Linked DNA regions of Saccharomyces cerevisiae S288C. The gene in region 2 interacts genetically with the main gene of each other region. Each region holds a gene or a part of one and is shown on either strand. Other genes may lie near its edges.

Region 1 (7,184 bases), on a different chromosome or scaffold from region 2:
GAGAACTTCATAATGTTTAGTAGTTGTGTGTGGATTTGGTTTTCTATCTTAATTGCTCAATCCCAATTCCTAGATGGGTTGTTCTCCCCCAATGACAGTAATTTTGTCTTGTTTTTATACGTTTCTAATTGATATATTGAAGGACCAGAATGTAGCTCTATTTGAAAGCATGTGCGGCGTCTATAGATCTCTTGTAGAGGGTTCAAGCCACGGAAAAGAACAGTACTTCAACAGATTCGTGATCTGGAAAAGAAAGTATAATTTCTTTTTCCTCCAAAGAGGTTACATTCTTGTAAGCAGTATGGCTACAAAAAACCTTCAGGGTCCTAACCCTGAAGGTCAATTATAAGAAGCCTTTAAAAACAGCGCTTCCGCCATGTCATTGTCGACAGCTAGCTACGGCTGATTCAGCGCGCATACGATTTTTTTCTTTTGGCTAGCATAAATTGATCGCATACTGCCCAAAAAGAAACGGCAAAACGTCAGAGCTTAATGCTTCATTGACATTGCGGCAGCAACAAACTTCCGTTTGGCACTCAATGATCAGCACCTCTTTTCCACTTCAGCTGAAAATTTCAAGCAGTTGACTCTTGTTGGACTTTATTCTTATCTTTTTCTTTACTTAATTTTTCACATTTTAAAAGTTGTTTAGTTTTACCCTTTTTGGAGATTTTATTACAGCGATTGATTATGGGCCAGGTGAATATTGGTCAATTATTGAAATTTCATTTTATCTATGAGAAATAGATGAAAAAATTAGATAATTGTGTTGGGATTCCACTGTTCTCATTAGGTATGAATTTCTCCTGGAGGATACAAAAAAAAAAATTCACAAAAGGGAATCGATTTTTGTCTGTATGATATTATTGAGGCTTTCATTCATTTTACATATTGTCGTTCATTACCTTGTTACATTATCAATCCTTCCATTTCTGTATCCTTTAGATATGATGACTGCCTCTTGATGTTATGCCATATTTGCACCAGTATGTCATATATACTAGCAAGAAGACTGCTAGTCAATTAACAATAGTTGATTCTCGATTCAGCAACCATATTTTTGGAATCGGACTGAATTTTGTCGAACTAATTATACACCTTTCCTTGAAAGAATAAGCTGTTAGTGAGAAACAAGCAAGAACTTGCTAGCCGTCGCAGTTTGTCGGATTTCACTAAATAGACAAAACTACATGTAGAGTATCGTATTTCTATGGTAAAAGTTTACACCATCAAAAATTACCCCGCGAAGACTACGCAAATAAGGTTATACAAGTTAGTTGAGATGAAATAATCATCTCCACGTTCACGATTTAAGGCTAAATTGGAATGCGGCTAAAAAAGAGCGCAGTTACAAGAAAAAGCTACTATTTTATTATGCACGTGTGATAGCATTATCTTCAAGAATAAGCTCAAAAAAGAAAATGAGCTTAAAAAACCGCCTTTCCAGATAATTGAATGTAGCATATACCTATACATGCTTACCATGCCAAAAATATAACGGAACCACTACACATATCGGACCGTATTTTTATGGTTTATCAGTAAGGCCAACCATAAACACCTCAATGTTGGGGAGTCTGTCCTCGGCAATCAATGACGATGCCATTTCACCCTCATTCGAGTACTCGCTAACGTAAGAAAAAGGCACCCCGCAATGGGGTAGATCATACCCTAAAATGTTTCCTAGGTAGAAATAATAGTTACTAGGTAGGACGAAGGCAAGTACTACATAGCAGTACGGTTTCTGAGTCAGTAGTAACCCCTCAAACTTGCTCACACTTATCTTACCAAAAAATGGAGACGGACAATCAAATCTGAATTAAAAACACCGTCGCTTAACTGAATCAGAGAGAGAAGTTGAAACCAATGGTAGGAAATCAATCTAAAATAGAACACTTTAATTCTTAATAAAAAGAGGGGAACAACTTATTTTCTCCATTTGGCCTCGGCAACTTTCAGGGGGGCTTGAACGTATATACCGATCTACGTTGGAATTGACTGCTACTTCGTTCCACTAACCCAACTCAACAAATAAGCCTTGGAACCGCTGCAAGATTAGTCTATGTGACCGTGCCTTTTTTGCACTTTTAGAGAAACAGTGTTAAGAACTGTAATAACTGTTCAATTCTAAGCACTCAAACCGTGCTTGTACATATGCTTCAATGGCCTGCTCGATAGACCGATCACGTTTAATTTTTCTTTAATTTTGCCAAGGGAACGTTCTTTTCGTAGGCACCGCAATTTATTTCTAATGGATAAGTTCTGAATTTTGCTATGAATTAGTTAGTAGGGCCTACTAAAATGGCGTGGTATTTTTAAAGGGCCTTTACCAGCCACTCCTCAACAGAAAACCGTGCTCGCGTTGCAGAAATACGAGGTAGACACGCGCCTTAGGAACATAAAAATAAATATCTCGCGCTCACGGAAGGCAACCACTAACTCCTTTTCATCGAAAAGTGAGGTGTAGCTTACTAAAGCATTCCTCTTTATCCAAGTCGTATATTTTTCTTTATACTGCTAGTTCATTCTGAGCGGAGATTCCTGGCTAACTCTCCAATTGGAAATAAGGTAATAATGACTTTTCATGACGAATTGGGTGAAAATGCTTGGTGCTAGGCCCTGTGTTGTGGCTTTTTTCGGTAATAGTTTAATTTTCCAAAAAGGTTCCTGTGACTATCTTATCAAAGTAGCTTAGACCACGTCCTGCACGGTTTTGCAGACTGCTTAGGGGGTCTCTTGTTGTTATTAGCAGCGGAATATCTTTGTTTACTCATTAAAATGCCCCCCCGTTCGTTGCAAGGAACGCGCGCGCACAGAACTTGCGGATGCTTCCGCAGAAGTGCCCGTAGGAGATTTAAGCTAGCCCAGCGGTTAATCTACGCAGTTGCGTATTCGGAGTCCGCTCACACTTGCAAAAAGCATATAAAAAGCTTCATATTCATCTCATTAGTATCGGTTCTGCCATCCCATTATCTTAGGTTTATGCCTTTTCTGGTTCTCAAGTCAGTAACAACAAATACCCATCGTTGATTCTTTTTGGTAAGATCTCGCCTGTCAAAGAGATGTTCAATCGCTTTAATAAACTTCAAGCCGCTTTGGCTTTGGTCCTTTACTCCCAAAGTGCATTGGGCCAATATTATACCAACAGTTCCTCAATCGCTAGTAACAGCTCCACCGCCGTTTCGTCAACTTCATCAGGTTCCGTTTCCATCAGTAGTTCTATTGAGTTGACCTCATCTACTTCTGATGTCTCGAGCTCTCTCACTGAGTTAACGTCATCCTCCACCGAAGTCTCGAGCTCCATTGCTCCATCAACCTCGTCCTCTGAAGTCTCGAGCTCTATTACTTCATCAGGCTCTTCAGTCTCCGGCTCATCTTCTATTACTTCATCAGGCTCATCAGTCTCCAGTTCATCTTCTGCCACTGAATCAGGCTCATCCGCCTCCGGTTCATCCTCCGCCACTGAATCGGGCTCATCAGTCTCCGGTTCATCTACTTCCATTACATCAGGCTCATCCTCCGCCACTGAATCGGGCTCATCAGTCTCCGGTTCAACTTCTGCCACTGAATCAGGCTCATCCGCCTCCGGTTCATCTTCTGCCACTGAATCAGGCTCATCCGCCTCCGGTTCATCTTCTGCCACAGAATCAGGCTCATCAGTCTCCGGTTCATCTTCTGCCACAGAATCAGGCTCATCAGTCTCCGGTTCATCTTCTGCCACAGAATCAGGCTCCGCTTCTTCGGTTCCTAGCTCATCCGGTTCTGTCACAGAATCAGGCTCATCCTCATCAGCATCTGAATCATCTATCACACAATCTGGTACCGCTTCCGGTTCATCAGCCTCCAGCACGTCCGGTTCTGTTACACAATCTGGTTCCTCCGTTTCCGGTTCATCAGCTTCTTCTGCTCCAGGTATCTCGAGTTCAATTCCTCAATCAACCTCATCGGCTTCCACTGCCTCTGGTTCTATCACCTCCGGTACCTTAAGTTCTATTACCTCTTCGGCTTCTAGTGCAACTGCAACTGCTTCCAACTCTCTTTCTTCCAGCGATGGTACTATTTATTTGCCTTCTACAACCATCAGTGGTGACATCACACTCACCGGTTCAGTCATTGCAACTGAAGCTGTCGAAGTCGCTGCAGGTGGTAAGTTGACCCTACTTGATGGTGACAAATACGTTTTCTCTGCTGATTTCATAATCCATGGTGGCGTTTTCGTAGAAAAGTCTAAGCCAACTTACCCAGGTACCGAATTCGACATTTCTGGTGAAAACTTTGATGTATCTGGTACCTTTAACGCTGAAGAGCCTGCTGCTTCTTCCGCATCTGCCTACTCCTTCACTCCAGGCTCTTTCGATAACAGTGGTGATATTTCTTTGAGTCTATCAGAGTCCACAAAGGGCGAAGTCACATTCTCTCCCTACTCTAACTCTGGTGCTTTCTCTTTCTCAAATGCTATTCTCAATGGTGGTTCCGTCTCTGGTTTGCAGCGTAGAGCTGAATCAGGTTCTGTCAACAACGGTGAGATAAATCTTGAGAATGGCAGTACCTACGTCGTTGTCGAACCAGTTTCTGGAAGTGGTACAATCAACATCATCTCTGGCAACCTTTACTTGCACTATCCAGACACCTTTACTGGCCAAACTGTTGTATTCAAGGGTGAAGGTGTTCTTGCCGTTGACCCAACCGAAACCAACACTACTCCTATCCCTGTGGTTGGATACACTGGTGAAAACCAAATCGCCATTACAGCAGATGTCACTGCTCTTTCTTACGACAGTGCTACTGGTGTTTTAACTGCAACACAAGGCAACTCACAATTCTCCTTCTCTATTGGTACTGGGTTCTCCAGTTCTGGCTTCAACGTCTCCGAAGGAACATTTGCTGGTGCCTATGCTTATTATCTAAATTACGGAGGTGTTGTTGCTTCCAGCGCTACACCCTCATCCACATCTACCACATCAGGGGCTACCAACTCTACTTCCGGTTCCACTTCATTCGGTGCTTCCGTAACTGGTTCAACCGCTTCCACTTCATTCGGTGCTTCCGTGACTGGTTCAACGGCTTCCACCTTGATTTCCGGCTCCCCATCTGTTTATACCACAACATTAACATATGCAACAACCACAAGCACAGTAGTTGTCTCCTGTTCAGAAACAACTGATTCGAACGGTAACGTCTATACCATTACCACAACCGTACCATGTTCATCTACCACCGCCACTATCACTTCTTGCGATGAGACCGGATGTCATGTAACTACGTCTACCGGTACCGTCGCCACTGAAACCGTTTCTTCCAAATCATACACCACTGTTACCGTCACCCACTGTGACAACAATGGCTGTAACACCAAGACTGTCACTTCTGAATGTCCTGAAGAAACTTCAGCAACTACTACTTCTCCAAAATCATACACTACTGTTACCGTTACTCACTGTGACGACAACGGCTGTAACACTAAGACTGTCACCTCTGAGGCCCCTGAAGCCACAACCACTACTGTTTCTCCAAAGACATACACTACCGCTACTGTTACTCAGTGCGATGACAATGGATGTAGCACCAAGACTGTCACTTCTGAAGCTCCTAAAGAAACTTCAGAAACTTCAGAAACCAGTGCTGCCCCTAAGACATACACTACTGCCACTGTTACTCAATGTGATGACAATGGTTGTAACGTCAAGATAATCACCTCTCAAATACCTGAAGCTACTTCAACCGTCACCGCAACTAGTGCTTCTCCAAAGTCATACACTACTGTCACTTCTGAGGGTTCTAAAGCAACCTCATTGACTACTGCCATTTCCAAGGCTTCTAGTGCAATTTCCACATACTCCAAATCTGCAGCTCCAATAAAGACCTCTACTGGTATCATTGTCCAGTCCGAGGGTATTGCCGCAGGTTTGAATGCCAATACTTTGAATGCATTGGTCGGTATTTTCGTTCTTGCTTTCTTTAACTAATTTTTTTAACTGAGGAATTAAAAGTTTATTCCTCTGAAACGAGATAGGTTCTTAATATGCGTTTTATATACGCTTTGTGTAAACAGTTAAGTATTTTTTTAGCTTAATATTTGGATTTTTTTTATTTTTTTTATTCTTTTTGGATGAAATGGTTCCCTCTTCTGCCAATGAAGGGGAGACTAGGTTGATGTGTACACATCGTACACATTTTAAGGACACTTATTTCACTTATTGTCCACAGTAAAATCGTTCAGGCCATAATTAAATGCGAACTTAAGAGAACCTAAAAGTACCTCCCAACTTTTATAGTGGAGCTTCCGCTCTTTGGTCAGAAAAAAATCGAGTTCTGAACACTTGGCTTTATATTACAAATTTCTCCCTTCCAAGAAAGACAAGGGGTGCTTATCGCGACATGTCTCACAATAAACTTTATTATATTTATACTTTATTTATTAATAAGAGTTTCAAATAGGATTCTTGGAGAATTTTCAAAGCGTTTTTGCGTATAAGAAACTTTTCGGTTTGGCTCTTATCAGTTTACTGCCGATCTTTCTTCCTCACTGCTTGACCTGCCACTACGGAAGATCTTACCGACAATGATGTGAGCGGCGAGAACAAGGGAAATCTCGTAAGAATAGGAAACAACCTAACCTCATTTACTAAGAGAACCCGCAGGAAAAGATATCTTTTTGAGGCACAATTTTATGACCGCGTGTTTTCGAATTTTGACAGGGATCATGCAGGCAGAGATTTTCATGTCATTTGACAGCAAGTAACCCACAATCTACAGTCACACCCTTTTTGGCTTTTTTGAGGCGGGACTTTTTTTTTTAAGACATAATTCTTCAGCAGATTGAAATTCTGGTAACCTAATTGAGAAATCCCACGCATAATTGAGTTTTAACTTTCGAATTTTTCAGCAAGATAAATTAATGTCTCGCCCGGGCCATAGACAAAAGAAGAAAATCTATAAACATTCCGTGGATCGCCATGTGATATTTCTATTTAATATAGGCACATGGCTATGGCGAAACCTTAATGTGATACTTATGGTACATATATGTAACATGCTATAGTTACAGTAAGGATTGGCAACTTAATTCGTTTCCTTCGATTTTATACTCTTCGAACGTATTTGCAGTCATTGGCAGTAGAACATCATTTAGCACATCCAACGACTACCGTCGTTGTGCACGTGACACTCACCCCAATTGGACA
Region 2 (5,665 bases):
GTATTTTGTCGCATATATACTGCTTCACCATTTGTACATTAGATAATTCTTCACTACCCCCTCTATAGCAATGTTATAGTCATTGAATCATGCTTTGAAATGCCTGTTCTAATATTCTCTTCATATAATAAATGCGTGATGCCGGGTATTTGTGCGCCCTTGTTTGGCGCAAAAATCTCGAAAGTGAAAAAACTAATAGGCTTCTTAAAGCAGTTATATCTACAGCAAAGGAAATAGCTGCTGAAGACTGAAGATGTTGGCGCGCAGTTTGGGTTACAGGTTGATATCGACCAGTCGTATCTTATATAATAAACCCACGGTTAAGTCAGTGGTGTCGTCGTGTCCTGCGGGAACATCGCTTAACTTAAACATATGGAAGAGCGGTAAAGACGCAGTGGCACTCGAGGACAAGGAGTATCCAAATTGGTTATGGAGCGTATTGGATAGTGATCACGTTGTCGAACATGCGGCTGAGGACCCAGAGGGACAGGCTCTCTTAAAGAGAAGAAAGAACATAAGGAAGGCGAACAGGCAGCGAATCAAGCAAAACAATTTCTTGAGCCAACTTTAAGCCTCCGTTAATAAGATCAAGTTTGGTATCCTTGTAAATAAATATGTGTGTACGTGGTTAAATAGTATGTTTTTAGCATAATGCCTTATTTTGTACCAACAAAAACATGATAGTTCCCACATATCTTTTCGCCTGGGGAATACCAAGTGGGACAAACAAAACGTTAAAAATTAAATCCTTTAGAGTACCACAAATTCGCAAGAAACAAGATAGTTGAATTGTCAATCATGGCTAAGATAAGTATGAATGTGCCCAGTGTAAAGATCAAAAACATGCCAAAGGTAAGGTTAAAAAGCACTAGAAAGACTGTCTCCACGAAAAACATGCGAAATAGGTTCAATTCATACTCGAAAAGAATTCGAAGGACGCTCACAAGAAAGAGATTTTAGGCAAACATGAAACGTATGCATTTCATAACACACACATATATATATTATATATTCAAAATAAAGCATAACAACATACATATTGAAAAGTAAATTGAACGTTACGCAGTTTCATCAAATAAGAATAGTATTATTAAAAATTGGCCGGACCAAATATCTAGAAATCCGTTACTCTTCCGTTAAACGAATAATCGCCGTGTCTCAACGGGTCCTGCTTGGGACCCCCAACTTCACCAGTCTTGGGGTTAACATCACCTTCGAATTCAGGTATGGTCTTGGAAAATTCAGGCGAGAATGACCCAATATCGTTTTTGGTTAAAAGCGGTGAATTCAAACTCTCCTTTGTACGATCGCCGGTGGCCTGCGCATTATACTGATCTATTGCCTCTTGCGATGTGGCAATCCTCTGAAGTCTTTCGAACTCTTCCTGCTCTTCTCTTGGCAGCTTGGGAGGGCCGGGGATCCTTTCAGTAGTTATTTTTCGGGTGGCCATATTAAATGGTCGTCCACGTAGTAGATTTAAGGCTCCCGTGCGAGGATACCGATAACCTGTGCTTTTGATGGCGCACAACATTAGTTCTTCTTTTTATTATTTGGTTCTTTCTGACTCTTTAGCAAGTTAATATGATCTGCACTTTCCCCATTGGCCCCTTTATAGGGCGGAAAAGAGCATCTGTTTTTCCGGATTCTTGGAACAAGAAAAAGGAAATACACCTATCTATATGCCACTATTGTATATTACTAAATAAAATATTTAATTATATACTCATGCGTATGCCCTCAAGAAGTTCACCAATAATTCTTTGGTTTCTGCTGTTACCTTTTATGGTATTCAGGATCCCAAAACACTGCAGCAGCGTCAGTTTATCTTCCTCTGTGACGCCGTTCTGTTCTTCCTCGCTGAAAATATATCTTTGAAAACTCTTACTGGCACCGTCATTTGTATGTAGGAAGCTTTCGTAATACGGAAGAATGATGGAGTCTCTAAAACACTTTAATAAAAGGACATCAATTGACGGTGCGTACCTTGAAGGTTCAGATAGATATCCGTCAAGCCAGTAGTTACTATTTTTTTGGAAGCTTTTCTCGAAGGGCAGTAACACTGCCATCATGTCGTAGTAAACCTGTTGGTAAAACACCTTCCAGATTATGCCGACTCTTTTCAAAGCCGTATTTACGGTATCCTCATTGGCATAATTGAACACAATCTGGTTCTCTAAAATGTAAAGTGAAGTGGTAATGAATTCCTCGATTTCGGCCAAAAACCTTGAGTGCGTTACGGCAGCCTTGGTTTGTGTTTTCAAAGTGATATAAAATTCCAGCAGCCGGTCAATATCTTCTATTTTTGCTGGCAATTGCCATACCCTCTTGTTTTTAAATAGCTCCACAACTATGCTGCAGTATATACCCCAGATATTCCCCTCCAGAACAAATAACTCCTGTACGGTGAAGCTTTTATAGTTTGCTATCAAGGATGGCAAGTTTTTCAGTAAATCATGTAGTAAAGAAACATTAGTCGCGTCGAAAGCATCATCTTGGATCAGCGATAGAGCTGTATCATTAGGGTTGTTGTTAATGCTAGGGTTAAAGGAATATACAGATTTTCCAGAGTCAATAAGGCCTCCAGTAGAAGTATGGATAAACTGTACGGGTGACCTATGTTTACCATATGAAGAATGCAGAAATTTACTGAATGGGCTGGGAACTACGGGTTCAACGTCGTCTTTACCAATGGAATTATGCGGCTTGTAGGGTAAAAGCTTTTTTGCCATTTTGCTAAAGACATTACTGCCTTTGTTTGAATGAGAATGTCCTGTAGACAGTGAAGATTGTAAACTGTTCACACTCATATTAGATTTCGTATGAAACAATTTAGAGCCACTCCTACTTATGTTGTTACTACTTGTGCCGGTAATAACAGTGCCGTAGTTTTTTGACCCGCTCCTGCTTCGATTTCTCATATTATCTTTTGAATTGGTGAAGATGGACAGTCGCCTTTTATTGCCCCTTGAGTTGGAAGAAAATAAACTATCATTAGACGTGGTGTTCCCCTCCATTCGGTTACTACTTGATGAACCTATTTCGGAGTGACCATCGTTATTCTCCGTGCCTTGGCTGTACTCCTCTTCAATCGAATCCGTCGAGCGCCTTGCATTGGAACCATCATGGAATATAGATTGAAACCCCACCTGTGACCATCTAGGAGCGGCATCATGAGGAGATTTGGATGTTTTTAGATGCACATCTTCGTCGGGATGTGTCAGCGCTTGCGGTACTATATCAGAAGAAACACTATAAACTCTAGCTGGTTTGCGATTAGTTGCTTTTATGTTCGGGTTCGTGACGCTCAGTGAGCCTGAGGTAGCACTTCTTTTACGATTTAGGTCTGTTGCCATTGCTTGACTCTGTAGTTTAAGACTCGCCTAGCCACTTATGCTTATTGTGGTTTGTATTTTTTATTTACTGTCTTCTATCTTTCTCCCTTTAATTTTGACCTTATTTTAAAGCCCGCAAAGATCGCTGAAAAATTGCTAGTAAAGGTCGCATGCAAAATGGATAAAGTGCTCTTGTCAAATTATTTCAACACCTTCATTCGCAGTATAGTGGTATATTGGATTGGGTAAAGGAAAACAGGCGACACCAATATTGGTTTAAGCTAGTAGCGTATGCAGCTCTATCCAGGCATTAAAATTGGTTCACCTATTTCTGATAGTAGTTTTTTTTTTTCCAATCGTAAATTTTTTCTTCAATTTCGCGATGAGCTACAAAATAATAGTAGTGCAATCTGTATATTACTTTTCAAGTATCTAACTCATGCAAGTTAGGAGTTCCATAGCGGATATTTCACTATGTTTGATCCTCTCGATTTGTACACCCCTGATGACATCCAGGTTGAGGCTTTACAGTTCAATCTAGCAGAGAGAGAGCCAAAAGATCCTTGCTCACCGCAACGTGACGAAATATTAACGGCTGTAGATGAAGAAGAGAGTGACGACGATGACACCATTATCGATAATCTGGATCTGCCCTCCGTGAAGTATGCTCCGCCAGAAGTTATCCTTTGTATACTAATACTTCTGAAGCCCGATAGACAAGTAAACTTCAATCAGGAGACAGGGAAGAACAAATCTGTACTGGAGGTTTGCAAGAGTCATGGGCTGGAACCCGATCTGCTGAAAAGACTTTTGACTTGGTATACAGAAGAATGGCCTAACAAGAGGTTAAACTCGTTGGAAAAGATATGCAATAAAATCCCAATGCTGAGATTTACAGTATCCAAAGAACTACTGTTGGGCTACTATACTAGTGTATTGAAAAAATACAATAATAGTTGCGGATTGAATGAGGAAATCATACAAGAACTTCTTAAGGAATTGAGCTCAAGGATATCCGAAAACTGTGGGAGAACGGCCCAACCATCCATAGTAAGATATTTTGAATTAAGAAATCTAAGCACTTCCATACCGCTTCATGAACCCTCTTTAACGGCCGATAATCTTGGTTGGAAAACATGGGGATCATCTTTAATACTTTCACAATTAGTCGTAGATCACCTGGATTACCTACATACCACTAATGTGAACATGTTAGCGAACAGCGACATCAAACAGATTAAAGTATTAGAATTAGGAGCGGGCACTGGTTTAGTAGGACTTTCATGGGCCTTAAAATGGAAAGAACTTTATGGAACTGAAAATATAGAAATCTTCGTGACGGATTTACCCGAGATTGTGACGAATTTGAAGAAAAATGTGTCATTAAATAATTTAGGAGATTTCGTTCAAGCAGAGATATTAGATTGGACTAATCCTCACGATTTTATAGATAAATTTGGACATGAAAATGAATTTGACGTCATATTGATCGCCGACCCGATATATTCGCCTCAGCATCCGGAATGGGTAGTTAACATGATATCGAAGTTTTTGGCGGCATCAGGGACCTGTCACCTAGAAATACCTTTAAGGGCAAAATACGCCAAAGAACGAGAGGTTTTGAAATTATTACTAAAAGAGAGTGATTTAAAAGTAGTTGAAGAACGGCATTCAGAGGGTGTGGATGATTGGGGTGCCGTTAAGTATTTATATAGGCAAATCGTTCGCAATTAGTGGGAAAGAAACGAACGCGCTTAGGCGAATAGTTTTTCTTTATAATAAAAATCATGCATGCTACATAGACATTGAAATGTGAATTATAAGTACTTGCCAGACCTTACATACTGATTTATACAATTTATGGAGAAGAAAACTGAATGGGCCACCTCGCCAAAAGGTTAGTTTTTGATTCAGACAGGAATCAATACTGGTAGTACATTAAACAATCAAGGCCGCCTTTATAGTTGCGCTTATGCAACATAATCATCTGCAATCTGCAATCTTAGTTTCACTGCCTGTGGAATAATTTTTTCCGTTAACTGCTTTGGAGTATTCTCGCAATAAAGGTTCATACCATACACTTAACTTTTCTTCACCTTTGTCCAGTAAATTTCTCAAGGCAGAATTCCTATAATGCACAGTCTCAAGATCTATAATAGCACCTGCGCTCCCATCACCTATCAAGCTGCCCATCACCTTTGGCATCTCATTGAGCAGAAATTTTGAAGTGTATTCGTATCTCGTCAAGGTTTCTACTACTTGCATTTGTTCTAAGTACGGTAGTCTTAAGACAATCTCAGCACTAAACTTGTTTCTTATAGCATTGAAACATT

The links. Genes that interact genetically often act in the same process or in processes that back each other up.
Region 1: mutations in BIT2 (region 2) and HPF1 together harm fitness more than expected from each alone (negative genetic interaction), as found in Saccharomyces cerevisiae (2 studies listed by BioGRID).

Annotation. Positions count from the first base shown.
Region 1 is NC_001147.6:27,485-34,668, reverse strand, and holds HPF1 (mannoprotein), read left to right. Parts: upstream 1-3,062; coding exon 3,063-5,966; downstream 5,967-7,184. Other genes in the region: ZPS1 (Zps1p), read right to left, coding at 1-11. UniProt on the Saccharomyces cerevisiae protein: Involved in cell wall organization and biosynthesis.
Region 2 is NC_001134.8:741,046-746,710, forward strand, and holds BIT2 (Bit2p), read right to left. Parts: upstream 3,354-5,665; coding exon 1,716-3,353; downstream 1-1,715. Other genes in the region: mitochondrial 54S ribosomal protein mL54 MRPL37, read left to right, coding at 254-571; SDH8 (Sdh8p), read right to left, coding at 1,115-1,531; EFM2 (S-adenosylmethionine-dependent methyltransferase), read left to right, coding at 3,807-5,066; HSM3 (Hsm3p), read right to left, coding at 5,316-5,665.